4 linked regions of the Rhinolophus ferrumequinum genome follow. The protein of the gene in region 2 interacts with the protein of the main gene of each other region in a biochemical or structural test. Links are inferred from orthologs where the notes say so. Each region holds a gene or a part of one and is shown on either strand. Other genes may lie near its edges.

The links.
Region 1: of the proteins of AKT1 (region 2) and AKT1S1, one has a biochemical effect on the other in vitro, tested with the Homo sapiens proteins (2 studies listed by BioGRID). The link is inferred for Rhinolophus ferrumequinum from reciprocal best matches to the Homo sapiens genes AKT1 and AKT1S1.
Region 3: of the proteins of AKT1 (region 2) and PTPA, one has a biochemical effect on the other in vitro, tested with the Homo sapiens proteins (2 studies listed by BioGRID). The link is inferred for Rhinolophus ferrumequinum from reciprocal best matches to the Homo sapiens genes AKT1 and PTPA.
Region 4: of the proteins of AKT1 (region 2) and FOXO3, one has a biochemical effect on the other in vitro, tested with the Homo sapiens proteins (2 studies listed by BioGRID and IntAct). The link is inferred for Rhinolophus ferrumequinum from reciprocal best matches to the Homo sapiens genes AKT1 and FOXO3.

The regions. Positions count from the first base shown.
Region 1 is NC_046298.1:44,904,488-44,911,981, forward strand, and holds the start of AKT1S1 (proline-rich AKT1 substrate 1), read right to left. Parts: upstream 3,146-7,494; 5' UTR 2,471-3,145; coding exon 2,418-2,470; exon of another isoform or gene 2,325-2,417; intron 1-2,324. Other genes in the region: TBC1D17 (TBC1 domain family member 17), read left to right, coding at 3,548-3,568, 4,040-4,138, 4,346-4,420. UniProt on the Homo sapiens protein: Negative regulator of the mechanistic target of rapamycin complex 1 (mTORC1), an evolutionarily conserved central nutrient sensor that stimulates anabolic reactions and macromolecule biosynthesis to promote cellular biomass generation and growth.
Region 2 is NC_046289.1:824,356-831,483, reverse strand, and holds the start of AKT1 (RAC-alpha serine/threonine-protein kinase), read right to left. Parts: upstream 3,088-7,128; 5' UTR 3,010-3,087; intron 502-3,009; 5' UTR 410-501; coding exon 364-409; intron 1-363. UniProt on the Homo sapiens protein: AKT1 is one of 3 closely related serine/threonine-protein kinases (AKT1, AKT2 and AKT3) called the AKT kinase, and which regulate many processes including metabolism, proliferation, cell survival, growth and angiogenesis.
Region 3 is NC_046295.1:77,724,744-77,732,956, reverse strand, and holds the start of PTPA (serine/threonine-protein phosphatase 2A activator), read right to left. Parts: upstream 3,141-8,213; 5' UTR 2,881-3,140; coding exon 2,850-2,880; intron 2,776-2,849; exon of another isoform or gene 2,667-2,775; intron 391-2,666; coding exon 293-390; intron 1-292. Other genes in the region: CRAT (carnitine O-acetyltransferase), read left to right, coding at 3,942-3,968, 6,397-6,660. UniProt on the Homo sapiens protein: PPIases accelerate the folding of proteins. It catalyzes the cis-trans isomerization of proline imidic peptide bonds in oligopeptides. Acts as a regulatory subunit for serine/threonine-protein phosphatase 2A (PP2A).
Region 4 is NC_046286.1:61,323,790-61,331,450, reverse strand, and holds the start of FOXO3 (forkhead box protein O3), read right to left. Parts: upstream 3,018-7,661; 5' UTR 2,888-3,017; intron 2,753-2,887; exon of another isoform or gene 2,416-2,752; intron 2,105-2,415; 5' UTR 1,953-2,104; intron 1,496-1,952; coding exon of another isoform or gene 949-1,495; exon of another isoform or gene 778-948; coding exon of another isoform or gene 575-777; exon of another isoform or gene 147-574; 5' UTR 20-146; coding exon 1-19. Other genes in the region: uncharacterized protein LOC117020678, read left to right, coding at 575-777, 949-1,495. UniProt on the Homo sapiens protein: Transcriptional activator that recognizes and binds to the DNA sequence 5'-[AG]TAAA[TC]A-3' and regulates different processes, such as apoptosis and autophagy.

The sequences.
Region 1 (7,494 bases), on a different chromosome or scaffold from region 2:
GCCCCTTCTTGTCCCATGGGCTCCAACATCTGAGTGACCCCCATTCTTGGACATCTCTGTCTGGGGAGTGCTTTCTGGATCCATCTCCCCAGCTAGTGTGGGAGCCCCTGAGTCACACCTGTTGGGTTCATCTCTGAGCCAGTGGCCTTGCCCGGTACATGGCAGGCCTCAGAGTGGGGCTGAGCGAAAAATGGTGTGCAAGCTGCTGTCTGCACCTGGACTCCACCCTGGAAGCTTTTGTCCTTCCTACAAGACTGTTCCGGCATTGCCTCTGGAAGTCTTCCCTGATGCCCCAGGATGGCGATGCCTTCCTTAGACCCACAATGCCCTGGGCTACCTCCATTTGAGCTCATGTCACTTGAGCTTCTAGCAGTTGTATCTCTGCTTCCTCTATCCGACTGTGAGCAAACCAAGGTCAGGGATCTGTGTCCCCAGGACAGGTCTATAAGCAGACAATCTGCTGGACACATCTCCTTACGAGGTGAGAAGAGCAAAGAGCACATGGGCTAGCTTCCTGCCCTGTCTCAAACCTTCTGTGTGACCTGGGCCACTCACTGGCCCTCTCTGAGCCTTTCTTCCCCCTATAAACCAGAGTGGTTGAGCCAGGGCTGCTGGGCAGTTGAGAAGCCTCCTGGAGGAAGAAGCAAGCACACCATCACTGGAGGGATTCAAACGAGGCTGTGATCCAGCTCACCGGGGTCATAGTAATTTGATTTCTATTCACAGGCCTTTTGTGACTCACAGTCATAGAAGCCAGTGCTTGCTGAGCACCTATTCTGTGCAGGGACTCTGCATCTCTCATCTCACCTCCTACCTGACCCACCAAGGTGGGAGCTGTCACCTCACAAATAAGACAACCAGAGTACAAGCCCTTGCCGCAAGCCACACGCAGTGACAACACAAACAGCACCTTTCCTGACAGACCCCATGGCAAGTTCATCCCCCACCTCCCACATGCCCGGCAGGGACTTAAGTGTGTCAACATTCTCATCACCAGCCCTGTGAGGGAGGAGCTGTTACCGCCCCATTTCACAGTTGTAACTGAGACCCAGCGAGAGTCAAGATCTTGACCAGGGTCAGACAGCTGGAGAGGAAAGCGGGAGACCTGGATCTGGCAGCCTGTTCTGAATTCCAAACGTCTTCCTACCTACCTTGTGAGGAAAGATTTATGATCACCTAGTCCAGATGGGGAAAGTGAGGCTCAAAGAGCTTAAGGCAGTGGCCCAAAGGTACACAGCTAGAAAGGGCAGAAGTGAGGCCGAAATTGCTGCCAGCCGGACTCCAAAACCAAACAGAACTGGGAGGTGCTCAAGGTCTCACAGCTCTTTGGGTCATCCCCATCTGATGAAGGAGGAAACTGAAGCTCAGGGCAAGGCAATGACTGGTCCAAGGTCGCACAGCCTGACAGTAGTAGGCCTGGGACTCTCACTTCTTTGGGACACCAGGATTAAACTCCTCTCTATCCTAGATCTTAGAGTGGCCAGAGAGTTGCAAAGAGTGAAGTGAGACTGAGTGGGAGTAAGGGTCCCCCCATCTCAGAGAGCATGGGCAAAGAGAAGGAGGGCAACTCACACAGACCTCTCTGCCAAAGCCTGGGGGCTCTCTGGAGTCAGTTACCCAAGAGGAGAGTAACCAAGATCTGGGGAGTCTCCCTTCTCTTCAGCTTCTATTGGAAGCCCTGTGTCCTCCAACGACCTGAGAAATGGAGGACCCCCTCCCCCAAATGGAGGAGTTTAAGATGAAGAAGAGAGGGAAACAATGGTGAAACCTGTCCCCCACAGGAGGGGTAAGGAGAGGTGAGTGGCCTCTTAGATGATGAAGTGAGGAAACTGACTCCAGGAAGAGGTGAGGAAAGGAAAAGTCCCCCAAGGAATGACGGATGTTAGTGAAGCCCCCTTCCAAACACCTGTCAAACTGAAAGTGCCCCGGCTCCAAGGTGGGGTGAACTGGAGGATGCACCCCGCAGCCGGGGGTGAACATCTGAGGTCTCTCCACCTCTCAGAGACCTACCCCACCTCTCCCGGGGACCAGCAAAGACCCTCTTCTCTAGAAAGAAAACAGGAAATCCTGCCCAGGTGGGGAGCATAACCGGAAGTCCCGCCTTTAGACGGTTGAGGGGCGCCCCAAGGTCCCCCAAGCAACCCTCCGACCCTATGGACACGGTCCAGTCAAAGTAAGGATCCTAATGGGTCTAGAGACAGGAAGGTAAGGCTGTCTAGGTTTTGCCTCGGGTCAGACACAACGGTTCCCGCCAGGGATCCCTTTCCAGCGCTCAGCGTACGGTCGCTGGGCGATCTCTTCCCTTTCATCTACGCAGGCCATACCCCTCTCGCTAGCGGTTCGCCCTCCCAGCGCCCCTCTCCTCCGGACCGCCAAGTCCTCCCCACACCGTGGTTCACAACGCCGCCTCCACTCACGTGCCCGTAGCCAGCATGGCCGAACCGGCGCCGTCGCCGCCCTCAAGAGACATGGCGGCGAATTGCGTCACTTCCCTGTGGTTGGCCCGCCTCCACTCTGCACACTCCGCCTCCCTTATCGGGCCGCCCGATACAAAGATGGCGGCTACAGGAGCTTCACCGGATCAGTGAGCCAACGGTGACAGCAGGGTGACGATAAGAAGGATGGGGAAATGCTTCAGTTTGTTCGGAAACAAACCGAGATCATTTCGATTTGACCCCAAGAAATATGGTCGCCTTGCACATACACATTCAGGACCACAGTAAACTAAGGCAAGCCACTTGACGTCCCTCATTTATAATCAACCTCTTCCACATAAGAAAAGCAGTGCCCGTTGATGACATGGCAGCCAGCCTGGCATCATTTGCCCTTAAGGTATATGGACTCTCCAGCCTATCCCCTTTCAGCACCAAGACTGGCAAAGATCCAACATGGCAGCCTTTCTTGCTTCGGTTTGCCCAATTTCAATATGGTGTCTCAGACCGCTTTCTTTCGACAGTGACTCATGAATTCGTCTGGGACCGCTTCGTTCCCGGGGATACTGACGGCTTCATCCCGTTAACCCGAGTTCTTCAGCGCCTCTTTTGCTGTACAGCTCCTCTCAACGTTGTTTTCCTTTCTCCGTTTCTCTTTTCCAGGACCCTGCCATCGCGCTCCGCAGAGCGATGGAACTGCCCCCCGTTGACATGGCCGCAGCTGACCCGCTTTAGTCGTGCCCTCAAGCAAAAGGGCATCTATTGGGCTTCGATGCCAGTATACAATATGGAGAAAGTAGTAGGCGTTTCGAAGCGTTTGGGTGAGGGGGTGGAGCTATTGGACCCGCCTCCTTGTTTACTTCGTGGAAAGGATGGTATCACTGCGCTTGCGCACCCTCGCTGGTCTCCACCTTTAGAGTCTGCGCCATATGACTTAAACCCTCGTGGTTCAACTTGGGCCACCCCATTCTGAAAGATGGTTACACCCACTCCTGTTCTAGAACAGGCAAAGGCACTACCACTGTCCGGGCTTGAGGGGAGTCTCCTATCCGGATATGACAGCATGTTGACCCGGAAAAGGAGGGACCCGAGACAGTGGGGCTTGGGCCGCGGCTATGGAGGGAGCCGGTTACAGGGTGAGTACTAAGTACGCACTTTCGCTTCTGTCTATATGGAACGCCCCCCCACAGTGGTCTGCTTTTCCCTCAGGTCGTGCCAGATCTCTCGGAGCCAGGCCGATCCTTAGCAAACACACCATTCCCTGGTGACGCGCTGTCACCCTTGCTTCCACTGCCCTAAGGAAGACCCATATCTTTTGGCCCCGCCCCCTGAGCTGCTGAGATATTCTTATGGACCCCGCCCCTTTTATAACACAATTCCCTACTCCTTCTCCCCTCTTTCCTTCCATCGCCCAGTATCCGGACGCCTGTCTGGTATGCAGGCTTCACTACTCGTAGTCCCATGCCCTTAGAAAATGGTTCCCCCAGGCCTTGCCCCATGGGGAATAGCTCCTCCCTGGGTCTACTCCCATTGGCTCCCTCCTGGGCCCCGCCCCTTAGGTGTCTTTCTGCTCTTGGGTCCCGCCCCTCACTGGTTCCTGTCCCCAGGTTGTGTTTGAGAAGGGAGGCGTGTACCTGCACACCAGTGCCAAGAAGCACCAGGACCCGGACTCCCTCATCGCTGGCGTCATCCGTGTTGTGGAGAAGGTGGGCTGGGATGGAACAGAGCGGGATGGAGGTGGCATCTGTAGGAGTATGGTCTGGTTGTGAGCTATGGGACCTTAGGATGATTGCGGGACTGGAGAGAGAAACGGAGCTTTGTCAGGCTGAGGGTCCAAAATGGGGAAGCAGTTTGGCAATATGGTTTGGGGAGTTAAGACGAGAGTCCTTTTAACACCGCCTTCCTTCCCTCAGGACAATGATGTCCTCCTGCACTGGGCTCCCGTAGAAGAGGCTGGAGATTCCACCCAAATCCTCTTCTCCAAGAAGGTAGGCTTCTCTTGCTCTGCCTTTCTCCACTTGCTTTTTTTCTAGGTCCAGGCAATGGAAGGCATTTGAAAAAGCTGGGTACAATCGCAGAACTACTCCTTGGGGCAGGTGTGACCCTTGCTGGTTTCCTCTAGTCTGTGAAATGGGGCTGAAGATACCCATTCACAGAAAGAAAGCAGACACCGTGAGGTTCATGGCCATGGGGACAGCTGCCCCTTTGTTTCTTGAGAGAGCCTTGCCAGGACACAGGAGGACAACTCAGCCTGTGGATTTGGGTTCCATGGGCTGTCAGCCCATAAGAACTTGAAGAGGTGTGGCATTTCCTCTGGGGCAGTCCTGCCATCATGTCCAGAAAGGGAACAGGACCTGACGAGGCAACTCACCGTTTTGCCAGTACTCGTTCCTCCCCTGGTACGGGATGTCACCCTTCTCATGATCAGTTGGCTCCTGAGGCTTCTTGTCATTGCCAGGCCCTGTGCTAGACAGTGCTGGCACCCAGATATGAGTCCAACCCAGATCTTGCCTAAGCCCTCACCCCCATTCTATTTTTGAGAAACTGAGGCATAATGAGAGGAATCCCCTTTTCCAAGGTCAGAAAAGGTAGGAGGTGTTGGAACTTCGGTTTGAACCCAGACACTCTGATTCTAGAGCTCCGCCTCTTCCTGGGGACGTAGATATTTGGGCTGGGACTCTAAAGATGAGAAGGGGGTAGGAGGGTAATTCAGGGATGTAGGAGGAAGTGTATTGCAGGGCACAGGGGGAAGGAAGTGGGATATCTCTGTAGAGGGGTTTGCTGAAAAGGTGATCCTGAAATGCCAGGCCCAGAAGCTTGGACCCTATCCTAGAGACCCCGGGGAACTATGGGAGGAGAAAGGTGTGGGTGCAGGAGGCCCTCTGGAAGGGTGGCATGTACCATGTTTCCCCGAAAATAAGATCTAGCCAGACAATCAGCTCTAATGTGTCTTTTGGAGCAAAAATTAATATAAGATCTGGTCTCATTTTACTATAATATAAGACAAGGTCTTATATAAGACCAGGTCTTACATGTATTAATTTTTGCTTCAAAAGATGCGTTAGAGCTGATTGTCCATCTAGGTCTTATTTTCTGGGAAACACGGTAGGAGATGGACCAAAGGACCAAATAGAGGGAGATTGGAGGCTGGAAGGTCATGGGGAAGGCTGATGTGATTGGCCAGGGAGAGAGGATGAAGCTTCAGCAGGGGCTGTGGGGTTTCAGATGACCTAGTCATGTACAAATGGAGACTCCAGAACACCCTCTCCCCGGCCCCAGGAGCTGGGGCAGAAGCAACCAGGATTTTGCATTTTTCACCAACCCGGGAGGCAGTCTGAGTGCCTTTCTTGAGAATATTGCTGTCCTCCTTGGCACTCGTATTTTCGAACAGAAATCCACGGAGATGGGCTTCAGAATGCACATATGCATTCACGATACATTCAGCTCCAAGGAACACAAAACTGGACCAATGACACGTTAGGCAAACAAGGTAGACCTCTCATCTCACAAGAACCCAAGGGGTAATGGGGCAGCTGGCCTTGACTGGTGACGTCAGAGCCTAGACCACTGAAGTTCTACTGTGATTGCCCTAATAGACTTTATTTATTTTTTTAACTTTTATTTATTTTAAGTGTGTTTTTCCAGGACCCATCAGCTCCAGGTCAAGTAGTTTTTTCAGTCTAGTTGTGGAGGGCACAGCTCACAGTGGCCCATGTGGGGATCAAACTGGCAACCTTGTTGTTAAGAGCACCGCGCTCTAACCAACTGAGCTAACCGGCTGCCCCCCTAGTAGTCTTTAAATGACTGCTTCAGGGTGCCAATCACATCTGTCCTCATCAGGAAAAACAAGAGATTGCCCAGAAATCCGCATCGGTTAGGAGTTGCATTTGGCTTTGTATAACAGAAATAGCAATAACCGTGGCCTATGCAAGATAGGAGACCATTTCCTTCCTATGGAAAAGCCCAGAAATCAGTAGTACAGGTTCATATATCATCAATGATCCAGTTTCCTTCCCTCTTTGCTCTGCCATCCTCTGCATGTCATATCCATCCTCAACACGTGTTCATCCTCAAGGCTGTCTCGTGGTCCAAAAAGGCTGCTGGAGCTCCAGCCTTTTGGACTGTTTTTATGCACTCTACTTACGTGTTGCAGGTTGGCTCATTAGCTCTGTTCATCATGATTACTCGAAGAAATATGCTGCTATAGCAGCTACCATCTTAAAAGTCACCATTCCTTGGGCAGAGGGAAAGAGAGCTCTAGAAGACTTCCCCTGGCAATTAAACAATCCATCCTGGAAGTGATACATCCCAGCCCCTTGGCCAGAACTAGTTGCACAGCTCCACCCAGCCAGTTCAATGAGCTGTGAGCCTGCTATGTGCCTGAGAGGCAAAGATCTGCAAATATTTGTCAGATAGTACTAATGTTAACATCAGTGAAACCTTCGAGTTCTTCCTGTCACGATATACGGAAAGCGGAAATGGCTTTGCCAGGACTGGCTTGGCAGCCTTGTGGACAAGTGAGCCTGCTAGTCCTTGGCCCTCCCCTCATGGCCCTAGTTTATTGCCACAAGCTCCAAATATGTTTTCCCTCGACAGCACCCAAAGGGTAGCCTGAACCTGCAGGTGCCTTTTTGTCAGGAATTGTCCTTCCTCAAACATCCCACACGTGTCCTCTCAGCTACCACTGGCCAGAGTTGGGTCCATAGGCTACTCACAACTACAGGGAAGGCTTGGAAAGCAAAGTATAATACGGAGAGTTCAGCTTCTCTGGTGGGGAGGGCTCTGGAAGCACAGCAGAAATGGCTGGGGGTCTTTCCAGCTTCATTGCCCTAATCATGCAGGGTTTGTTGCAGGAGTCACAAAACACTTGGTAACTTTAAGCAGCAAGGAATTAAATGCAAAGAAGTGGAGACTTACAGGATTTTATTAGCAGAGCTGGAGGGACAGGACTGATGCTCCAGAACTGAGCTTCCAGGGGCGGGAGCTGCCACCACTGCCAATGAGGCTGTGGCGAATGGGACTGTCATTGAAGCTGTTGAGTTCTCAGCCCCCACAAAGCTAA
Region 2 (7,128 bases):
TGCCCTGGGCCACCAGTGAGCTAGGCCTTGGACCAGCCCCAGCGTCCTTGCTGCCTTCCAGGAAAGTGGGGAGGGAGGCAGCAGCAGCTCTCCCTGCCAACCAGGCCCAGCCAGGCGGTCACTCCACCGCCAGCCAGACAGGCTACAGGCCTCGGGCCTCATGTCCCCACCCAGGGGACACACAAGGCCATGCCCTGCACACCGTGGGAGACACTGGGCCCTGGAGGCTCACCTGGGCAGGTCTGGGAGCCCAAGGGAGGCCCCTCCCATCCAGCAGGCCACCAAAGCACCTGCCACCTGAAGGAAGCCTGTGGGCCAGCTCAGGCCGCCCCGGCTCCAGGCCCCGCCCCCAGGGGCACTGACCTCTTTTGTGCAGCCAGCCCTCTTTCACGATGGCCACGTCGGTCATGCTGTGCGCTGCTGCGGGCCGAGGCGGCCCAGGCGTCACTCACGCTCCTCTCGCAGTAGGGTCTCCCGGAGCCCAGCCAGCACCCACAGCCTCTGGAAGAAGCAAAGGGAAGTGTGAGGCTGTGTCTAGCTTAGGGGCCACTCCTCCGACCTGGTGATGAGCCCAGGAGGGTCGTCCCACCTGGGGCCTCAGCCCGGGTGCACCTTCCCGTGTGGCCTGCTCCCCTCAGCCCTGAGTCACTGCCACCCCTCACTTTCTTCCCACCACGGCACCTAATAAAAGGCCCTCAGAGCTCCCTGTCCCTCTCACCTAGCCCATTCCCACTCCCCCTGGCTTTTGTACAAATCACTCCATCCCCAAAAGGCCCTCCCAGTGTACCCCAGCCTCCCTAACCAGCCAGCCCGGCAGGCAACCCCCTGCAGGCAGCCCGACTGCTTCAGGGCACACCACTCAACCTCCCCAGGCTCCTGGTGAGGGCGCCCTGTTCTCCATCCAGTCTTCCCACCCATAGGCTCCTCCTCCCTGCCCCAGACTGGGAGAGACATTCAAACAGGAAGAAGGCAGCACCAGAAGTAAGGGCGGCTGGCGTAAATGGGCAGAGCCCGCCAGGGTGACCTGAACCCCTCCCCCGGCCCCTCCTAAACCACGGTGCCCCTGCGGGCCTGAATCTGGTTCATTCATTTGGCCAGTGTAGATCAGTCACCTCTGGTTTGCCAGGCTCAGCACTGGGCACTGGTGACAAAGGGGTTCAGACGGGCCCGTCTATAAGGAGTACCCAGTCCAGGGTGGTTACAGGTCTGTAATTAGAGCATCCAAGAGGCAAACAATGGGGGGCGCTGTACACACACAGCGGTCCTGGCACCCGCCCGCAATGGCCCACCAGTGGCCCTCTCTTAAGTAGACACTTTGGCCATTCATCTTGCATGACCCTCCCCATGGCTCCCCTGCTGGATAAACTCCTACACATCCCTCAAAACCCAGTGCTCACATCACCCGTTCTGGGCATCCCAGTATTCTGCTACCCTCCAGATGGGCAATCGGAGGGCAGGCCCTAAGAGACTCCAGTCTGGGACACCCGGGCCAGGCAGGGAGCCCTGAGAACCACTGGAATGGATCCCAATATGGGTCTTCCCACAGCCACGAAGATGGTCTCCCACAGATCACCTCACCGGCCTCTTGAGGCAGGGGCTGGGCACCCAGAGAAGGTTGCTGTGCATTGATGGTCTGAGGCTAAATTTAGGAGGGTGGTTAGACCCCACTCACTGCCTGTGTGTGATGCCAGGACAGGGATGACACACTTTGCCTAAGAAAGCAAGTGCCGAAGTGCTCAGCAGGCCCATGGGCAGCAGCGGGAAGATATGAGGGTGTCAGGATTGGGCTCTGAGCCCCAGCACAGTGGGCACCGGGGGCTCTGGTGACACGGAGTGGGCGTGGCCTGGAGACAGAGGGCTGGACTCCGAGGCCTCTGGATGTCCCCCTACCCTACCCCCACCCAGGCCTGAGAAGGGCCTGCTGCTGATAGAGTCAGACAGCTGTCGACAGCCCATGTGTAAAAATACATCTGTACACACACACACACACACACACACACACACACAGCCCAACACCCGGGCTGCCTCTCTGCACAGGACTGGCAGGACCAAGGGGACCTGTGTCCTGCTGCCCGGTACTGAGTGCCTTCACCAGACACTACGCGACTGTTGTCATTACCAAAGCCACAACTTCTTAAAAAGTAGTCTGTGCTCCGAAAGGAAACCCTCCTTCTGCCTCCCAACATTGGTTTGTAAACTGTATGTTTCAGCTGGGTGGGGGGGGGCAGGGAACCAAGCTGCAGGGCCTTCACTCCCACCAGGGGCTCAGAGCAGTCAGGGGTGGCCTGGAGGCAGGCCAGGGGCCCAGGAGTGAAGGAGGAGGCCCTGTGGCCGGAGATCACAGGCCCATGCCCCCACTCTGTCCACCAGGGCAGTACTCTGAAACCAGTCCCACCCACTGAGCTCACCATCTGCCCCCACCCTCCAATCTGGGGACCAAGCCCTAGCTGCCCTCCAGACCCCAGCCTCTAGGATGGGTGGGCAGCACCTCCACAGCCCACTCAGGTCAGGAAGCAGTTTCAGGGCCCACGAGGGATAGGAGTCCTTTGTGGACTGGCCTGGGCCCCTCGCCACCAGGGACAACTTTTTGTCTATGGGAAGATGAGGTCTCCTTCCAAGAGCCCACCCACAAACTGGAAGGAGGGCTGGGGCGAGCCTTCTCCTAAGGCCCCTTAGCCTCCTGTGCTCCGGGCAGCGCTGGCCAGGCGCCCAGGGAGCGCCCGGGGAGCCCCCGACGCAGAGATGCCCCCGTCCGGGCCCGGCCGCGCCCCTCCGCCCCAGCCTGGGCCTCGCCGGCCGGCGGGCCACTTCTCCAAGGTCATGAGGGAGGCCGGGACCGGCGGCCCGCACCCGTAGCCCGCGCCCTCCCCGCCCAGGCCGCGCTCGGCCACTTCCTGCTCCCGCGCCTCCATTCCGGCCGCGCCGCCCGCGCCCCGGCCCGGCCGGCCGGGAACAAAGCGGCGGAGCGGGGAGGAAATCCGGGCCCCGGCGGCGGCGGGCGGGACTCACCGGGCGCCGCGTCCGGGCGAGCGCGGGCCTAGCCGGGCCGCGGCCTCCGGCGCCCGCCGCTCCGCATCCCCGCGGGCCGGGCCGGGGGCGGGCTGGGGCGGCGCGGGCCGGCGGCGGGCGCTGTCCGGCGGGCCTCGCGCCGCGGGCCCGGTGCTCGTGCGCGGCCGCGTATCGCGTCCTCCGGTGCCTGCTGCGCGCGCGCTGGGCCGGCCGCCGCCGCTCCGTCCCGCCGCCGCCGCCGGCCCGCCCCGTCCCCGCCCCGCGCGCCCCGCCCGGCCGCCCGCCCACATCCGCCTCCGCGGCCCTGCGCCCCCACCCGGGCTCAGAGGGCGGGGGCCGGGGCTGGGCCCGCCCGCCCAGCGCCCACTGCTCTGCCAGTCCCCGGGCACGCCCTCTCTGGCCTCAGTTTCCCGGTTTGTCCGGTGAACCGCACTTCTCGGCCTCTCTGTGCGGCGACGGGGACGAATGAGGGCTTCTGTCTCCATGGGATGGGGGTGGGATGGGATGTAGGTTAGTTTGATATCAGAATGTGCTGTGACCCAAGTGGGTAGCACCCTACTGGGTCCAGGGAGAGAGGCGCCAAGATTGTCCTGAAAGACCCAATCAGAGGTCCCTGCCCCACCGGTTCAGGAGGCTGGGGAGGGCAGGTTGGAGGTGGGCCTGGAAGGCTGGGCCATCGGGGACGTGGGGACTGATGAGGGCAAGCCAGGCCCTGGAGAGACAGGGGTTCTGAGCCCTCCCTCCTTGGCAGGGGGCTTCCAGAAACTTCCCCTCCCCCAGAAGGAAGATGCTGACACGTGGCGGCTACAAAGTGGATGGGGACTTCTTCCCACGGTGACAGAGGGAAAAGAGGGCACAGGAACCAGTGGAGGGGCATCCACCTGGCCTGGACTGCCCTCTCTGAGCTGGGAGCACATACCCAAAGCGGGAGCAGGTTTGGGTGCAGGCTCAAGAGAAGGGTCTTGACAGCAGAGGCCGCCCAAGCCCCTCCCTGTTGTCTCAGTGGGCCCTGGGCACCCACAGTCCACTGGGGGGCAGCTAAGGGACCAGAGGCAGAGGGAGTCTAGCACCCTCCTCCTACAGATTCCCAGGACACTGCAGACTGTGCTCCACCCTGGAGCCCTCCCTGGCCCTGGCCCTCCACGGGAGCCTCAGGTTCCTACAGTTGCCCCTCCCCCCAGCCCTGAGGCCTCCAAGTTGATAGTAATCCTTCTGTGAAATGAAGACCACTGTGAGCTATCTTCCTGGGGTGGTATGTTTGTTTTTGCTTTTTTTTTGGGGGGGGGGACATTTTTGTTCTTCATCCAGGGTCAGAGTTCAGCCTGAGTGTATAGACACTTTATCTGGGTCAGAAGCAGGTGCAGCCCGGCTGAACCCCCAGGACAGCGTCTACAGCGGAAACTGGGGCTCTGTCCCAGCCTCTCAGGCTGACTGAGAGAAGGATGCTTCTCAGGGAAGGACTCTCTCCCCTGCTCAGGGGACACCCGCTCCTTAGAAAGGGGCCCCAGTTCCATACATCTCCCTTTGGCCCTTGTGTCCCCACCCCAGCACAGTTGTCTCAGTTTTTACTGTGTACCCCCAGGCAGGGCCCTGCCTCCAGGGGCCAAGTGACAGACCCAGCCCGTCTGTGCTGCTTGGGCCAGATCCCTGACCTAAGGGTACCCCCAGATGTCTGACATCTCTCCATCGCTCACCCCACAAATCCTCCCATGGGTGCCTGGGGCCTCCTCTGGGACTGTCCCACCGACATACTGCTCTCCCAGGTGGGGTTTCCATACCCACACCCCATCCTGGATTCAGCAATGCTTTGGAGAAGGCAGAAGATGGGAGGAGAATGGTGAGGTGTCAGCGAGTGGCGACTGGGGGACCAGGAAGGTGCCTTCTCATGGAAGACGTGGCGACTCCCCAGGCTCCTCTCCGGCCTGCTGATCCGCATCTTGAACAGGAGGCTGCGCTGAGGTGGTCCAAAGCCCCCGTCTCCAGGGGCCTCTCCACATGCTCCGTCCGGAGCTCTGGCGCACAGTGGGTACCCGGGACCCTCTGCGAGCCCTGCACCCACCCTGTCTGTGCAGCACCCAGTCCTGTCTTGGCCTCTGTGTGAGCCTGCCCTGTGACTGGCGTATCCCTGTGGGCAGGACCAGCCCCCTCCTCCACTGGACTCCAGGAGGGAAAGCTCCTGGAGGGAGCTCCTCTCCCCAAGAACACTCCTCTCCCACCCCCCAAACAGAATGGCAAGGAGAGCACGAGCCCTGTTGGCCAGCCCTGGCCACTGCTGGAACCGCTGGGGAGCCCCTTGGCCAGATGTTTCCAACAAAAACTGCTGCACCGGCCCCAGGGAGGGCAGCTGCCTGATCCCTCCCTGAGTACAGGGGCCTCCAGCCCTGTCACCTTCTGCAGCTGCCGGCCATCGGGCAGGACTCCTGGGCCAGTGCCCCCGGCTGCCTAGTCTGGGCAGCAGCTGCAGGGCGGGGCCTCAAGGCAGCTCCCAAGCCAGATGGCCGCCTGGCTGACTGCATCCAGGGAGGCTCTGCCTGCACCACTGCGACACCTCCTGTCATCCCTGTGCCTGAGACCTTGCTGGGCCAGATAGGGGACCCAAGGGCCATGTGGTGGCCAGCTCCAGAGTGCCATTTTGGGGCTGCCTAGGACAGTCCCTTCTCGGGGTGCGGCAGGGCAGGAGGGCTTAACTCAGACCTTGTAACTGGAGAGGCACAGAGGGCCTCTCTCCCACGGTCCCCTGCCCCAGGGATGTTTCTCCTCCCTGGCCCATCCTTAACTTGCTGGCCTCCCAGGCCCAGCCCCAGGCTCTCGCCCGCAGTGTCCTCGCCTGCTTTGGTCCCTGTCTGTGCCCCACAACTTGTGTCAGGTGTCCAAGGAGTGCTTTGTCCCACCAGCCAGGCAGGGCAAGCAGGGCACGCTGCCCACCCCAGGGCCTCACGCCACCCAGAGCCCTGCCTTCGCGGGCTCAGGGGCCAAGCCTGGGGGCACAGCTGGGCAACGGGCAGCAGTCGGAATCGACTGCTGTGGCACTCAGGGCAGCAGTGGCACTCTTGTGGGTGTCCTCACAGGAGCCATGCACTCCCTTCAGACACTTACTGAAACCCCACTGGTGGCGGGACCCGTGTCACAGTATGGTCACATCACACGGGCAGGGCTGTGAAGCAGGAGAAGGCTGTGAGAGAGAAACGAGGCCTTGGGGGGGCTTAGCTGGGTGGTGATGATGGACCACTGGGGGTGCCCCGCTGGAACAGACAGCAATGGGGACGGCCGGAGGAGGGCTCTCTGGGGAGGGGCCTGAGTGGCCAGTGAATGGCCTGGGGTCTCCCTGTGCCAGGCCCTGCAGTCATTCTTCTCATTTTGCAGATGAGGATATTAAGGTTCAAGGAGATCAAGCGTCGTTATCAAGGTTGGGAGGGGGCAGGGCGGGGCTCTGAAGCCGCCAGATGGAGGGGGGGGCAATACCCTCTGGGCTCCCAGGGACCTCATTTGAATTCAGTTCCCTCTGCAGGGGGAGGGCCTGGAGGCAGGGGCGTGGCCCTCCTCAAGGGTCCCCAGATGGATGGGCCTTGGGAGCCAGGGCAGTCTCAGTGGCCAAGTACAGTGAGAGTCCAGGGTTCCGAGCGGCAGTTGCTGGATTTAGGAAATAAAAATGCAGGATGTCCAGTCAAATTTGAATATCAGACAAACAAGGAATAATTTTTTAGTGGAAGAATGTGCCTCTCCTTCCCACAGACAGCAGATCTAACTGCAGTGGCCCCAGGGCCTCTGGGGGCTCCTCAGCCCCCCACCCCATCCTACCCGCCCACAGCGCTGAACAGGACTCTGTTCTCACGGAGGGCTCGCCCTCCTCTGGGGCATCAAGGAAAATGGCTGGAGGGCTCCCTGTTCCCTCTGCCCACGGATACCTGGCCGACTGGGGTCCCATCCTTTGTGACCCAGCCCCTCCTCCAGCACCTCCCCAACCCCTACTTAAGGCCTCCTTTCCACCCCCGCTCCTGGCTGGGGCTCCTCCTCCCCTGCTCACCTTCCATTTAGGGGCTGCTGGTCAGTACCCTGGCAATTCTGGGGACTGCAGAATTCGAACCTTGGTTCAGCGACTTGCTGCCTGCAGTCACCTTA
Region 3 (8,213 bases), on a different chromosome or scaffold from region 2:
ATAACAACAGTCAGGGGCGATGGGGTACGAGAACCAGGAGTAGAACTCTCCAGGGTTACCTGGCCCCGGCGCCCAGGGACCTTCCCACTGAAGCATCTCTGAGTGCTGGCCTGGACAGGGAGGGACCGTCACCTCCCCTGTCACCTCTCTCCCTAGCCTCTAACAGCTCTGGCTCCAAGAGCAAGAAAGATCAGGAGCTCAGAGCCCCAGTCATGTCTACAAAACACTGTCTTTGAAAAATCCCAAGTTTCTCATCCCAGTTCTGACCCTACAATGCAGACACTACTAGTACCTGAGAACGCTTCCATTTGCCCATGTCTGGAACCGTATGGATCTCCTTTTTTGGAATGATGAAGTTCTGCGTGGCTGGAGGGATATCCTCCGAGGAATCTGGACAAAGAAAATGAAAAAGGAAAGAGATAAATAAAATCCTCCCTCCAATACACACACACACACACACACACTCTTTCTTTCTCTCTCTCTCTCTCTCTCTCTCTCTCTCTCTCAAACCAAGACTACAATACCCAAGCCCTAATGTAAACCAGACAGACATGTACTCCCAGGACAGAGTATTGGCTCGTTAAACCAAACCCACTGGCCTTCTGCCGTTCCTTTCTCTGCAAGAAAAGTTAAGGTATCAATTGTTGAGGAATAAAAGTGCCAGGAGACCTGGAGACCTAAGGAGTAGGATGGAGAATCTGAGATAAGAGCAAGGCAAACCAAACCTCTACCTAATTCAAAATTCAAAAAAGGGTCCAAGAAAGAGAGCAGAAAAGCTCTCTTCCTCCTCCTCCCACCTGTTCTGCAAGCCCTGTTCCCAGGACCCAAAACTGAGAACCCCCTACTATTAGTAAATTGCTATTTTAAGATGCTATATAAAAAGTTTTGTAGGTCAGGCTGGTAACCTAACCACATTGTTTTTATGGGAAAATGTGTTCCACATTCCAAATAATCAACTTGCAAATGATCTTTGGGAACAGAGCCCTTTTGTGAGTAAGCTGGAAAGAACTATTTCCTGCAAGGGGATAGTCCTCCTGACATTGTTTCACAAGGAGGAAAACCTCCAGGCCAGGCTCTGTTGCCAGGGGAAAGGCTACCTTATAGGAAGCATTGCAACAAATCACTGATGAAACACACTCATAAATCGCCAGACCATAAAATGCTAAATAAAAAAAAAAGCCTTCAAACTCAGGACTGGGATATATGAAGTCACACCCACAGTCTCTCCAGTGTCAGATTCTGCCTCTGACAAAGGGACCAATGGACAATTGGTTCCCCTAAAACCTCTTGGTATAAGATGGAAACCTCCAGTTTTAGAGATGTTCCTAAAAAAAAAATCCAGAGAGTAAGTATAACGTGTAATACATTTGGGAGCCAGTCCACATGTACAACCTGTACCACTTTTGAAAAGGTTCCCAGTAATCCACACTGACTAACTTACCCGCCACGTCCCATGCTTCGTCCACATCATCTATGGAACACACACTACAGCTCTGTGAAGAAGGTAGAGTCGCCCCATTTTAAGAGATCAGAAAACAGGCTCACAGAGGCTGCGACTGGCCAGGCAGATTCTCTATGTCTGTAAGAGCCTCTCTTACAGACAGTCTATGTAACTCCAAAATCCAAGGTTTTCACCACTACACTGTCTGAGTTAAGTAGTTCTCTCCACTTGTCCCAAAACAGCCTGTTTCAACTTCAAAGAAGGGCCACGTCCCAGGAACCTGGATCTTCCCAGCCATAGCGAACCTCCAGAGCCTTCGTCTCTTCCAGCACCCAGCTTCCCTCCCCCACTCTATGCCCCACCACCACGTTCAAAAACATTCATCTCAGTGATAACTCTGGTTGCCTTGTATATCTCCTGATGTCATACCAAGACTTCTAAGAGAACACGCACAGAAGTTTTGTACCAAACAAATGTCAGCTCTTTGTTCATCTATTTTTTTTTGGGGGGGGGCCCTCTTTTGATCTTCAGAGTTTATGAGACCTTCCCAGGGATCACAGAATGCAAGACAAAATAGAAGGACTATCAAATGCTTTCAAACCATTACCTACGTTCGGCCAACCTATTCGCTCCCAACAGAATTTTTAAAGTTTTCTCAGCTCAAGGTGGGGGGGTTGGGGGGATGTCAACAAACAGCCTTCCCCTATACAGTTCTCTAAGCGAAGATCCTTTCCCTAGCACCTCCATCCCAGGTACTGGAGATGCACCAGGAAGCGGCCGGCCACAGTGTAAATACGAGTTACAGATGGCGATGCTCTAGAGACGCTCATCTCCTTGCACAACCAGCCTTTTTAAATTAGTGGTTTAGCGGACCGAGGCCAGTTTCTCTGTCAGTTCTCCGCCACTGGAAGCTCCGGAGGCCGCTTCCCAGAGAGAGGGGAGGGGGATGCGCGGTGGGCAGGGCATGGAGGCGGCTGGGAACGGGGCCGAGCAGGCCCAGGCCCACAGAGCACCTAAGCCCAGCATCCCTCGCGTCGTCCTCACCACATCAAGAGCTCAATTCAGCGCGTAGCCCAGACGTGGAAAAGGCCTCCCCTTCTGGCCAAGGCGCTGCCCACCCGACCCACGGGCAGCCGGGACTCCCCAAGTCGGGTGTTGCGCCCCACCCACCACCCCTTCGCAGCCCCGAGTTCTTGCCCTCCCCTCAGGAAGGTGCCGTCCTCACCACTGCTCCCGCAGCGCCCCTCAACTCGAGTTCCTCCTCCGGGCCCATCAGCTCTTGCCCGGCGAGTTCCTCCATCTCGCGATCATTCCTTTGCGGAGACCCCCCGCACCACACCTCTTCCCCGCCCCCACGCCTGCCGCCGCCCCCGCGCCCCCCACCCCGGCCGGGCCCGACGCGCCCTACCTGGCGGCGACTGCCGCTCGCCTTCAGCCATCTTCCTCCGTCAGGAGCTGGACCTCACTTTTCACCTCCGCACCCACCCTTCCTTTTCCCCGTGCTCAGAGCTTTCTGAAGAGAAATGAGCACCAGCCGGCTATAACCGAAAACCGAGAATTAAAGTCACCCCCGCGAAGACGACCGCCATGTCCGTGCGGGGCACTCAGGGAGTATGACCAGCAACGGCCGGCTCGCGGCTGCAGGGCTCACTGGGAGGCGGCGGCCATGTTGGTGCGGGGCGCCCAGCGCATGCGCACCAGGGCGGGCTAACCAACCGCCCGCCGAGCGCTGGGAACGCGGCAGACATGCTTTTGCGGGGCGGGCGAGCGAAGTTGCGCAGCCATGCTTTTGCGGGGCGGTCTCCACCTGTCATCTTTGTGCGTGGCTCTGACCCTATCCTGAGGGATGTTAGAAGACATTCTCCTGTCGAACGGTTGTGTTTTCCTACCACTATGAGAGTAGCGCTCAAGGACACCAAACGGACTGAGAGAGGTGCACACCACTGCCTCCAACAGCTTGGACGGCATTTGGAGGTGGAGAGCGAGCTGGACCGCTGCCCCGGTCTTTCCCTCTTCGCGGTTCCACCACCTCGCTGCGAGCGCAACCCGCTAACTGCACCCCCGGTTCCGCCCCGGTGCTGTGGCCCCGCCCCCGCCCCCGCCGCCACTGTGGCCCCGCCCCCGCCGCCACTCTGGCCCCGCCCCCGCCGCCACTCTGGCCCCGCCCCCGCCGCCACTCTGGCCCCGCCCCCGCCGCCACTCTGGCCCCGCCCCCGCCGCCACTCTGGCCCCGCCCTGCGCACCCTGCTAGCCGCGGGGGCTCGCCACTGGCCCTGGCCCCGCCCAGAGAGGCCTCCTTGAGCCTCCAGCCTGCTAGCCGCCAGCCCACCACCCGCCAGGCCCGGTGGGTGGGCGCTGGGCCACCTCTACTGGCCCGCGGCGGTGACTCGGCGACCTTGGCTAGGAAACTCTAGCGGGGACCCACCAACGGAGGTGGCAACGCGGACTTTGCCCAGCGCGGGGGCGGAGCGGACTGTGTGTCCACTGGCGGGGCGCAGAGATGTTGGCTTTCGCGGCCAGGACAGTGGTAAGTGAGGCCGGAGCCAGACCTGGCGGGCCCTGGACTAGGCGGGCGGGCCGGGCCAGCCACGCAGCTGCGCCGGAATAGGGAAACAGGCACATAGGCTGTTGAGGCGACAGGGCCGGGGAGGCCGCTGTCCAGCTTGGCCTGCAGCTGCTGGGGTGGGGTGGCAGGTGGGCTTCCCCGTTTGGCAGAGGAGGAGACTGAGGCTCAAGGTCAGAGGCCGGATGGAGCCCATGTCCTGTCGAGCTAAATTCTGACGACCCAGAAAAGACAGCACCCTGGCTTCAGGCAACACTCCCACCCTTAGACCGGGAGCCAAGGAGCCGGCTGACCAGGAGTGTGTCTCACTATTATTCTCTGACTCACACACCCTTCTCTGCCACACTCAGCCTGCGCCGTCTCTGCCAAGGCCAGAGCCACTTCTCCAGCCCCATCCAGTTGGTCAGCCTGCTTGGGCTTATCAAATGGCCCCTGGGTAATTGTGGGTAGCCAGAGAAACTCACTTGGAGACATCAAGCTGAGCTGCTCAGAAAGTCCTAAGAACTGGCAGGAGGTGGCAGGTTGGCAGCCCCATGCCCTCCCTCTCTGCCAATTTTTCCCCTAACCTGTTCACGTCTACCCCCCCACGCTCAGTACTCCCCAGAGGGCAGCCTAGAGCAAGAGGTGCTGCAAACCTGATTTGAGTTCCTTTCCTCTCTATTCCAAGCATACCTCTGCTTGTATCTCCCTCTGTGCAAGGAAGAGTGTTCAAACAGACACTACCAGGCACAGATAACTGAGGGTACCCGTCCGCTGGCCTCTGGACGAGAGGCTCTTCCCGGTCTTCCAGGATCCTAAGGCTCCACCTCACTCTTGACGCTGCCACCTGAGCTGTGCCCCCATCCCGCAAACAGCCTCTAGGTCATCCTCCAGGACCTGCTGGGTGGCTGATCACTTTCCTGCTGGGGAAACTGAGGCAAGGAGAGGCTTGGCTAGAATCCCCTGGATGTGCTGACTTAAATTTAATCCAATCCCAAAGAGTCCTTTGGTTTATTTTTAATGCCCAAAGTCCTCCACTCTTGGCCCCCAACTGAATGAGCCACCGCTCGAGAGAATGAGGGTTTGGCAGAAGGGTGGCCTAGAAGGGTTCCCAAGAATCTTGAAGGGAAACGGGATGGGCAGGGCTCGTAGGAGCCACTGTCCACTTAGGGTTTTTCCAGTGTCTGCTCCTTTGCACCAACCCCAATTTTCAGGACTAATTCCAGGCTTGTGGTATACTCAGCAGCCAGGCAGTTTCTGCCCTCCAGCCAAGTTTTCCTTCATCAGACCTACGCACATTCTAACAGGTGGATTTTTTAATACCTCTTGGCCTGCCTCCCTGGCTCTGGGCCCATCCAGAAAAGAAGGAGAAAGTTTTCCAGGCTTGCTCCTATCCAGTTCCCACCACCAGCCCTCTCACCCACTCCCCATTCCTCCGCTTCTGGAAGCTAGGGCAAGTGGAGCAGCTGTTCTTGCCACAGCCACAACCCCACATGCCACCACAGTCACTATAGCCATCACCACTGCCACCTCTACCTCCCCCCTGAATCTTGGCTCTTGTCTTCTCTTTCCAGCCCAGGCAAGTGGCTGCCTCTTGCTAGGTTCTGCTCACCCACTTGGTAGCACAGTTAGGCTTAGAGATCCAGCCCAAGGCAGACAGACAGGGCTCAGAACCTCAGTCCTGCCATGGAGGACGGGCAGCAGAAAGAGAAGGTATGGAACGGAGCCTCTGCCGCTTGCCTGCCTACCGCTGCCAGCAACCTTGGACCCTCTTGTCTCTTTTTCTGCCCACCTCCAGAGTCTACCAGAGTCTCTCTCTCTCTCTCTCTGCCATCTTTCACCCTCTTTGCCAGGCCACTCAGCTCTCTCTTGCCGCAGCGCCGCCTCCATGCCACTTCTGTCCCCACCCCACATTCAGGAAAAAAATCTGTGGCTTCATCCTCATCTAAAGGTTCTGTGGTCATCTGGCTCTCCCTGATTTTCTCTGCTTCACTCCTGTTTCTCAACCTGGCAAGGGTGGGAGAAAAGGAGGTGGGGACCTCTGGGAGGGCCCTCACTGCTGGCTGGCTCATCACCCCAGGGTGAGAAAGACGGGACCCTGAGCATTCAGACAGGTGAGAGGTTCCTGTCACTCTGCCATCCCCAACAGGTGCCATTCATCCTGACTTGGTTCACCTGAGCCCTGCCAAGATCAATGGCCACACCCCACCCACACCCACCCCTACCTGCATCTCCAGGCTCCTGATAGGTGGAGACACCTATAGCTTGAGGGCTGGGAAGCCAGGGCGGGCACCACCCAAGAGACCATCTCTGATCCTGGGATGGGCACATAAGTGCCCAGGGCTGCAGCGTGGGACTGGCAGGGCCTCCCAGAGCTGGCGAGAGAATGAGCAGAATGTTCTGCTGCCTGCAGGTGAAGCCCCTGGGCTTCCTCAAGCCATCCTCCTTGAGGAAAGTTTCTGGCCGCTTCAAGACGCACCAGGACTCCCTGCCCCGGCTGCCCGTGCCCCCACTCCAGCAGTCTCTGGATCATTACCTTAAGACACTGCAGCCCATCATCAGTGAGGAGGAATGGGCCCACACCAAGCAGCTGGTGGAAGAGTTTCAGACTGCGGGGGGCGTAGGAGAGCGCCTCCAGAAGGGGCTGGAGCGCAGGGCCAGGAAGATGGAGAACTGGGTGAGTGAGAACCGAGGGCACCCCGGTCCCCCACTTCCCATGGAGGGTGCGAGCATCCCACACTGTGGCCTGTTGCTGCTGCACACAGAATCTTCCAGTACAAGCTGCTCTGGGGCGTTTGCTGGTGCCACGGAGTTTCTTGAGTGCTTACTGTGTGCCTGGCAGTGAGAGAATGCTGCATGAGCAAGGTGGACACAGTCGATGGCTTCTTGGAGCTGACGTTCAAGTAGGATGGGAGAGAGGTGATTAAACAGGACACAGTGGGTGGAGGAGGTCATTTCAGGCAGTGACATTTTATAGAAATAAAAGGCAACACGAGAGAGGAGTTGAGCACAGCAGCATCTTTATTCTGAATATTCGGGGAGGCTCCCAGGGAGATGGTGGTGGTGGATCTGAGACAGACAGGGAACAGCACGGGCAAAGGCAGCAACAGCCTGGAGAGTTCAGGAACAGACAGAGGCTAGAGTGGGCTCAGTGGGAAGGGGCCACAGATGGCTTCAAGCAGGGGGTAGGTGTCCGGTGACAGATCACCCGGGTCTGTGTCTCCGTCTGTCACGCGGGTGTGTTCAGCTCATGGAAATGTGTCTACACTAATGGTCTGTGCAGTTTTCTGTGTGTGTCTTATACCTCAGCATAAAGTTCAAAATGACTGCCCTGGCCACTGGGGGGAAACGAGTGGGAGCAGGAGGCGGGTGGGGAGGCTGGTGCCATCACCCCGAGGTAGATGCTGGCAGGGGGAGGGTGGAAAGTTCTTTGGTCCAGAATCAGTTTTGATCCCAATGGTAGTTGCTGTTGGGGGGGGAGGGGGTCCTGCCCTGAAGCGACTGTGAGGGGGAAGGGGAGTATTTACCAAGAAGGGGACGACTGAGGAGAGACAGGTTTGCAGGAAAGAACCGAAGCCGGGTCCAGCCCCATAGAGTAGGAGGTGCTACGAGGAGGCAGGTGCCAGGGTGGGGGCTGCACATGGGAGGGGGGAGTCATCAGCTGGGGGGCGGCCGTACTGAGCGAGCTTCGGCCTTGGATTCTGGAATCGGGAGCTGAGAGAGTCTGAAGTCTGGCAGTTTTCCCACTGTGTTTAGCCCACAGTTCCTTCAAATACAATCTTCTGGCTGAAGGGGGAGCACCCCATCTCCACTTACAGGGTCTGCCCAGATTCTCACTGGGGGAATGCCCACATCTGCAGGGTCTCCCCTTGTCTCCCGAGGTCTGGTCAGAGGCTCTGAGATCCCTGGTAGAGGGGGCGCTCCTGGCAGAAGGGCAGTTCTACTGTCCCCAAGGGGAAGGAGTTCCTGTCCGCTCCTCTGATCTACAGAGGAGGAAACAGGCCCAGTGAGATCAAAGCACAGAGCCACACAGCACCTCTCAAGGAGGCTCCGAGCTACACAGGGGGTCTGGCTGAGAGGGGTGCTATCCTCAGGCTACCTGTCAGCAGACAGCAGTCACCCACTGGCCTGCTGTTGCAACCTGGGCACGGCGCCACCCCTCGTCCCTTGCCCAGAGCCCAAGGCTAATGGCCTGGTGCCACAGGCCAGCAGTTCCCCAAGGGGAATCTG
Region 4 (7,661 bases), on a different chromosome or scaffold from region 2:
AGGCCCGCGCCTCTGCCATCTTCGCCGCCCGCCCGCGGCTCGGGCTCTGGCGCTCTCCTCTCCGCCCGGGCGGGGTGCGGCGGGGGAGGGACGGGGACGCCGCGAAGGCTCGGGGTGCCGGGCGCCGCTGCCGCTACTGCCGCCGCCTGGGAGGCACGAACGGAGAGAAAAAAGGAGTTGGTTACCCCGGGGTAGAGCCCAGCGCTCGGCTAGTGCTCACCCGCCGCCGCCGCCGCCGCCGCTTCCCGACCGCACCGCGCCCGCCTCCCAGGAGCAGGCAGACCTGGAGACGTGCGTCCCGCGAACCTGGCGCAGCAGACGCCGCCCCCTGGCCAGGCCGCCGGGTAGAGACGGGCGAATCGACGGGCTCGCACGGGGCAGCCCCCTCCCCCCGCCGACGCAGCCGCTGCTGCCGCCAGATCTGCAGGTCTCTCCTGGGCTAGGTGGCTGGGCGGGGACGAAGGGGGAGGGGCGGGGGAGGGGCGCGGGCCGCGCCTTTAAAGCGGGTTGCGGCCAGAGCTGGCGCAGCGGAGCCGCGGTCCGGGCCAGAAGCGGGGCGAGCGTGCGTTTGTTTATGTTTCGCTCGGGCCCGCTCAAGTGCTTCCCGCCGCGGCGCCGCCAAAGTCTGTGGCGTCTTCAGCTCTTCTCCCCGTCCGCGGCCCTGCCGCCTCCACGCACCCTTGCCATCCCCCCTCCCAACGGAGGGTCCGAACCCGGGGACGGCGCGGGCAGCTCCCTTCTCCCCTCTTCGCCCGCGGGCCGGGAGGGCGAACGTGGGTACGAGCGCAGACGGGCCCTTGTCACTTCCAGAAAAAAGAAAAGACGGGAAGAAGCGGGGCAAGCAGCTGGCGGATGTTCGCAAAGGGTCGAGCCGAGCAGGAACGGCCAGTTTGGGGTTTTGTGCGGTTTATTTTCTCACGGACGTTGTGCCCTCCACCCCCTTCCCAGGAAAGAACCGGAGGGTGGGGGCAAGTCGGAACATAAATCTTCCAACAGGTCGGGAAGCGCCAAGTCTCCCGAGCCGCCAGAAAACCCGGACCAGCACGTTCATCACCTCCTTGCTCCCGCTGCTGCCATCTTGACAGTTTTCCCCCCTTCACTCAAGTCCTTTAAAAACACTAGCGGGAGAGAAGGGGGCGCGCACACTGAGTCACGGGGAAGGAAAAGGGAAGCGCCTGGCCCAGCTCGGAAGCAGATCCGGAGTCACCGGGAAGGCGGCCGCCCCGCTGCACAGCTCCGGCGCCTACCTCGGTTCCTTCCCTTCAGGGACGAGGGGGGAGGACGCACAATCCCGCGCGGGCCCGGGGCACGGCGAGGAGGGGGCGTGCAACCTCCGCGAAGGAGAGGCGCTCCGGCTGCCGCCGCAGCCCGCCAGAGGAACCGCCTGTCAGCCTGCGCGCCGCCGCCTTCCACATTCCTCCTCCTCCCTTCCACGAGCAGGGCGGCCGCTGCAGAAGCACAAAGTTATAGACACACGCAGGGTGCCTCAACCTAAGCTGACGGCGGGCGGGCGGGCGGGCGGATCCCCGCCCAGAGGGAGGGCTGGGCGCCGGGCCCGGGTGTGCTGGTGTCGGGGTGTGTGTGCGTGCGCTCGCGCGCGCGCCTGCGCGACTCGGCTCCGCGGGGCTGCGGGTGTGGGTGTCAGGGCGCGCGCTGCAGCCCCGGACTCGGCGGGCTCCCTCAACTGTCCCCGCCGGGTTCCTCTCTCCCTAGAGTCTCAACGACAACAAAGCGCGGTGAGGGCCCCGGAGAAGAGGGAGGGGGGAGCGCAGAGCCTCACACGCTCCACGAGCGCAGTCGCATGGCCTCTCTAAGTAGCCTGGCTCCCGGGGTCCCCGGCAAGCGTGTCCGTCCGCCAGGCTCTGGACCCGCCCTGGTGTCGGGTTCCCCATTAGAACCGGACACCAGGTAACACGCGAGATAAGATGCTGACCGCAGATGGCAAGGGTTACCTCGGCGTGGAAATGCAGACAAGCGAAGATGTTGGTGCCTTCAGGACTTCGATAAGCTGATGCCCTCAGATTTGATCAGGCACTAAGAGGTTTGCACTGAGTCTCTTACCCAGGACGCTCGACCGCAGTCGTGTTTCACTTTTCATGGCAAACTAGGGGAGAAATGTAACACCGGAAAAAGCAAATTATTCACATTCCTAAACGCAAGAGCAGATTTTGAACAGCTGTGAATGGGAAATAATTTGATTCTAATTTGTAAATGACGGCAAACGTCTATTTGTGCATTCTTAAGAAAAACTCCTTTAGGTTTAGAAAAACATCTTTAGAAGTCTGTATCCAATGATCAGATGCTAAATCATTTGTGTACTAAGAATGCACACTACATGCAACACGCACACCAAAACTCCACTTTTATCAATATCTTTCTTTTTTTCCTGAAATCCTTCCAAGTCACTGGAGATACCTTAGAGTCTAGAGCGGGCTCGGCAACACTCGGATACACAAAAAGGTACAACCCAGCGTACGCAGAAGTCCGCCCACCCGGCCGGCTCCAGGCTCCGGGCTTTGCGCAGGGCCCGTCACTCCAGTGACGCGCGGCCCCGCCCCTGCACCAAGCTAGTTCGACGCGTACAAACAGATGATGTCATTGTATCCACACGCGCGTGACCCGGGAGCTCTGCGCCGCGTCGCCATTCGCTGCGCTGCTCACACGTAAAGACACGCCGAGAGCTGACTGGCCGCGGCCACTAGTCTCCAGGCCCCAGACGCCCCTCTCCGCCCCCGCCCCCCTGCAAATAATAAACAATCGAGTAAAATTGTAAGGACGAGAGGGAGGAGGGGAAAAACCAGAAACCAATCCTTCGCGCGCTTAAGGAGGGAGAGTTAATAGGAGGAGGACGTGAGAAGGCAGGGGTGGTGAGAGAGAGGGAGCCAACCTAGGGCGATGGGTCCCGCCGAGATGAGGTGGCGTCGAGGGAGGAAAGTTGGAGAGCACTCTGCGGGGCGCGCCTGGTAATGCGGGGCGCTCTAGGGCCCAGCAGTGGCGGAGCTCGAGGCTCGGGGGCGGTGCGCGCCCCCCGAGGGGGAGGAGCCTGGGCAGCGCTGTAGCGGCGCGGGCGGAGCTGGCAGACACGTGCGGGAGGAGGGCGGGAGCGCGCCGCACAGGCTCGCCCAGGACGCGCGGCACCGCCAACCGCGCGCGCTTGTTTACCAGCGCACGTGGGTGTTACTTTCAAATGGAATGTTGTGCTGGCTGCGCGGCGGAGTGGCTGGCGCTTGGGGCCGCCGGAGCTGGCTGGGGGACGCGGCGGGGCCCGCTCCACGGCTTCCCGTGGCGCTGCTCCTAGGCCAGCGAGGCTGTTCCCACTGCGGGCTTCCAGTGCAGTCGGCGGCTCTGGCCGGGAAGCCTCATTGCGAGTTTCGCGCTCTGCCCGAGCCTCATGATGAGGTGTTCCCGCCGCGGAACACTGCCTTCTTTAAGCCCGGGCTCGGCTCCCTCACTCGCATTCAGAAAATAAAGCCACCTGCTTCTCTTCCACCTGGAGGCAGTGCCAGGCCAGGCTGTGCGGCCGCCAGTTCCTGAGCAGATTTGAGACGCTCACATACTCAATGGCACACAACATCCTGGCCGCGGGGTGGAACGGGGTTTGTGCCCTCGTTCCCTTGTTCCTCATGCTCCCAGCCATATGTGCCCGTCTCCTCGGCTTACAGCTCTGCCCACGTTCAAATGAGCTTCTGCTACTTGGGGTTGTCTTTGTAAGGGGTTCTCTGGGGAAGGAGTCTCGGACGCTTCCTGGGGGTTGCTCCTCTGCATGTGGCTCCTTTCCATGCAGCTCCTCTGCTTTCATTGTGGGCCTGTCCGGGTGAGAAGCCCTGAGTTTGCATTTGGTTTATGGCCTGGCAGGACGGACCTTAATGTACAAGACAACTCTCAGCTTCAAGTGCCCATGGAGGGCGGGGTGAGGGGGGAGCTAGCCCATATTACTCTGAGTATGGTGTTCAGCTTTGCACCAATAACCGAAAGCTAGGTCACCCAGGGCTTTGCACCCTGATACCTCATAAAATCCAAAGAACTCTCAGCTGCTTCTTTTTAATACCTAAACAAACTGTAAAAGAAGTCCACCCCTTTTCTTCTCTAAATCTAAGCAATCTTTTGTCATTAAAGTGAAGATGTGGAAAGAATGTGTTTACACTGGCTGGGCTCTTGGTCATTAGATTTTTACTAAAAACATGATGTTGAGTGTCTATTTTCAGAATGCATTGCCCAAGGGCATTCCAAAAAACTTGGAGGAGTTAAAGATTCAGTAGATTAATTGAGTTCCTTGTGACCCTTTTGGTGAAGAATGGGGGGCAGGGACATGATACAGCCATTTCAAAGAGTTTACAGTCTTAGTTGGGGAGAATAAGACAGTATTTTTAAAGTTCAGTATTTCAAGTTTACAGTACAAGGCAAATACAAGAGGTCGTACATATAGTGTTGGGTAAGTTTCAAATGACTTGAGGATCAAAAGTTCAAATGGCAGTGACTATAAACATTCACCTTGGTAAATGTGCATCTTACCCAAAGAATTTACCCTTGTAATTTGTCCCTATGGCAAAACTTTGAAAAGAGGTTGAATCTCAGTGATTGTTCTCTTTCAGCCTGAAATTGTTTTGATCTTAAAGGTCTCCTTGGTCCTTTTCCATTTCTTCCTCCCACCTTTATTTCTCTCAACTTTTTCATATAGGAAAGCTGAGTAAGTTATGGTTGTTGAGGTAGAATTTTTGGTCAAAACTTTCCCCACTTCTTGTAATACTGTTTATTTCTACATGAGTTTTTTTTAAAAATTATTTCTACACGATTTAAGGTGAAAATCGTCCACTCCGTTTTGTAAATTCAGTCACTAGAGGAACAAAAATTTTTTTAGTGTTTCACCTGAACAAGCTGAGTAGATTCACCACTTCAAACATGTAGTTCTGAGGGGAGTGGTAGTAGATGCCAGGGCTCTGCCTCTGAGGGCGTCACACTCAGCACTTGTGTCCCTGCCCAGTCCTTGCACCTAGGTCAGCTCCATACTCCCTCTGATCCCAAAACCCTAACACTGGGGACTGAGCTCACTGCCTGTCAGCAAAGTGCTCATTTCCCTCTTGGGTTCGCTTCTACATCCATTTCAACAAGTAAGCCCGGAAACGCAAATACAGTATAAGCCTCCAAACAAATACATGACTCAGCTGGAAAGAAAGGATCCCCAATATTCAGGTCTAGAGCTGCCCCCTTTCCTTTGTCTGACACCCTCATTAGTTCCTTCTTCTGACTCCCCACTCATCAGCAAACTACTTACATGAAAAACATTTACTGAACACTCGAGCTTTGGCTTGTCTTTCAGGATTTCATTCCAGGCAGGTTTCATCACCACCCTCTCAAGAGGTTCTGGGGCTCCTGTCTTCTCTCTTTCTCTTTGCCTCCTTTAGGTGCTATATATTCTGGCAGAGCCTTGTGGGGAGGAAGAAATTTTCCTCTACCTTTCTAGGTTCTTTCAGCTGGTCTAATAGTTAAATCTACCTGAGACAGATTAACAAGAGAAAATAACCAAATTTAATTAACATATGTATGGGAAGGAAGGGGCAGAAGTTTCTTGTGAGCCCATAGGGTCTCCATTGCCTTCAACTCAAAATAATTCACATGGCACAGCAGCTTGAGGAAGCCTGTTCTGAACCCATTTCAGCGTCCCCTAGGTCATGACAGTGACTGCCCTGTGGTTCATTTGGAGGGCAACTCTGTATGTTTACAGGGAGAAAAAAGTAGGGGATCCAAAAAAGGTTGAAGATTGACCTGAGAAGGAATTGCATAATTAAGAGAAAGTGGTTAGGAATTTCTGTTTTCGTGTTATGAGCTAATGATGATAGCTAACTTTTATTTGTCACTTAATATATTCCAGTCCCTGAATTAAACACTTTATTTGCAGTATTTAAGTCTCACAAAGACCTTAGGAGGTAGGCACTGTCAACTTAAGAACATCCAAGTCTGTAGAGACTTTTATTTATAAGAGTTTACTTGAGCCAAACTGATGACATATGCCAGGGGGCAAGATCTCAAATGATCTGGAGAACAACAGTTTTGTCGCTTCTTTTATGCATTTGAAATTAAGAAGGGAATATAAGGAAGATAACATGGAGTTGGAAGAAAGCAAGGCCGGGTTTGGATTACAGGATAGTTAACAGATTATGTGCTTTCTTGAGGGTGGCTATAGCTTATTTCAAAGGTGTGTTAACCTAGTTCCACAAAAACAATGGACAGGGCTGGCTTAAGGCAAAGGTAAACTTTTTACTAAAAAGTTACATGCCTGGGGCGTGACTTCCCACCATGATCTGAGGAATTTATGATGAGATCATCCTGTGAGATTACTTTCCATAGAACCCTTTTTTTGGTCCACAGTCCAGTAGTGCTGGCATGGGGGTTAAGAATTCAGGTTCTCAGGTTAAGTCTTGTTAAGTGTGGCTAGCACCTGTGAGGCAGTCTCCACACTTCAGTCTATTTCTGAAAGTCAAGGGGACATTAACCCTTTCGCAGGGCCCTACATCCCTGTGTGGCACTCGTGACACGAGTGGGGAAGAAAGTCCTGGCACACAGATTCAGATAAAGTAATAGCTTTATTTGGGAGCCAGTGTCCCTCCAGAGGCAGTGCTCTGGTAAGCACAGAAGGTTATACAGAATAGAATTTAATAACGAACCAAGTCCCAGAGTCAATCGAGGTGAAGTTTCCTGGTCTGGGAGAGGTGATTGGGCCACGACGGGTCTGAGGCGAGCTGGTCTTGCGAGGAAGAACTTCGGAGAGTCCCGGAGTATCGCGGCTTGGACCTTGTAGAGGGTCTTAGCCGGAGCGCCCAGTCAGACTTCTCACGGCATTGCTCTGGAGTTCTGCTTTAATCCTCTTCCTTGCACTTGTTTACTTCGTAGGTGATAACCAGAAGTGGTTTGCCAGGAGTTGTTTACCTCTTAGGTGAAGGTGTTTATCAATTTTGTTATACTCAGTTTCACACAAAAACATAAACGTGTTTACTTTCATGTATATACTCTAAACATAAACATGTTTACTTTCACTTTGATCAGTCTCACACATGTGCGGCCATAGTCCTGTCCCTACTCGTTTTGCAAACCTCAATCCAACATATATAATACATTTTATATGCTCTATACATTAAGCCATATTTAGACCAGGAGCAGAAACCTTATCTTAGAAGCCGTCTTGTCTTGATCCCGTCTTGCTTTATCTCCTGGGGGCCTGTGAGCAGCGGGCCTCGGGGTCCGATGGCAACCTGGGGCCAGGGTGTGCAGCTGGAGGGCTTCCTCACGCCCTGAAACCCTTTGTCAACGAAAACCCCCTGAAGCATTGAAGGAAGAACAGCCTCGTTTACCCCTCCTATAAAACTCCGTACCTCTCTTTGCTTGGGGAGATTATGGTCTTTACTAGCCTGACCTCCAGCAGCCCAAGACACGCCAAATAGATTCTAATAGACCAATCTTGGTCTCCTGCGACTCATTCCTCCCGCCGTGCCTCCGCCCGCCATGCCTAACACGTGTGATCTTACCAGTTGTGAGACCCTGGTTATTATTTAACCACTGAGCCTCACTTCCTCATTCATAAAATGAGAATAATACCTTCTAGAATTGTTGGAAGCATGGAGTTAAATGAGATTATAAATCTAAAGCATTTAGAATTAGAATACTAG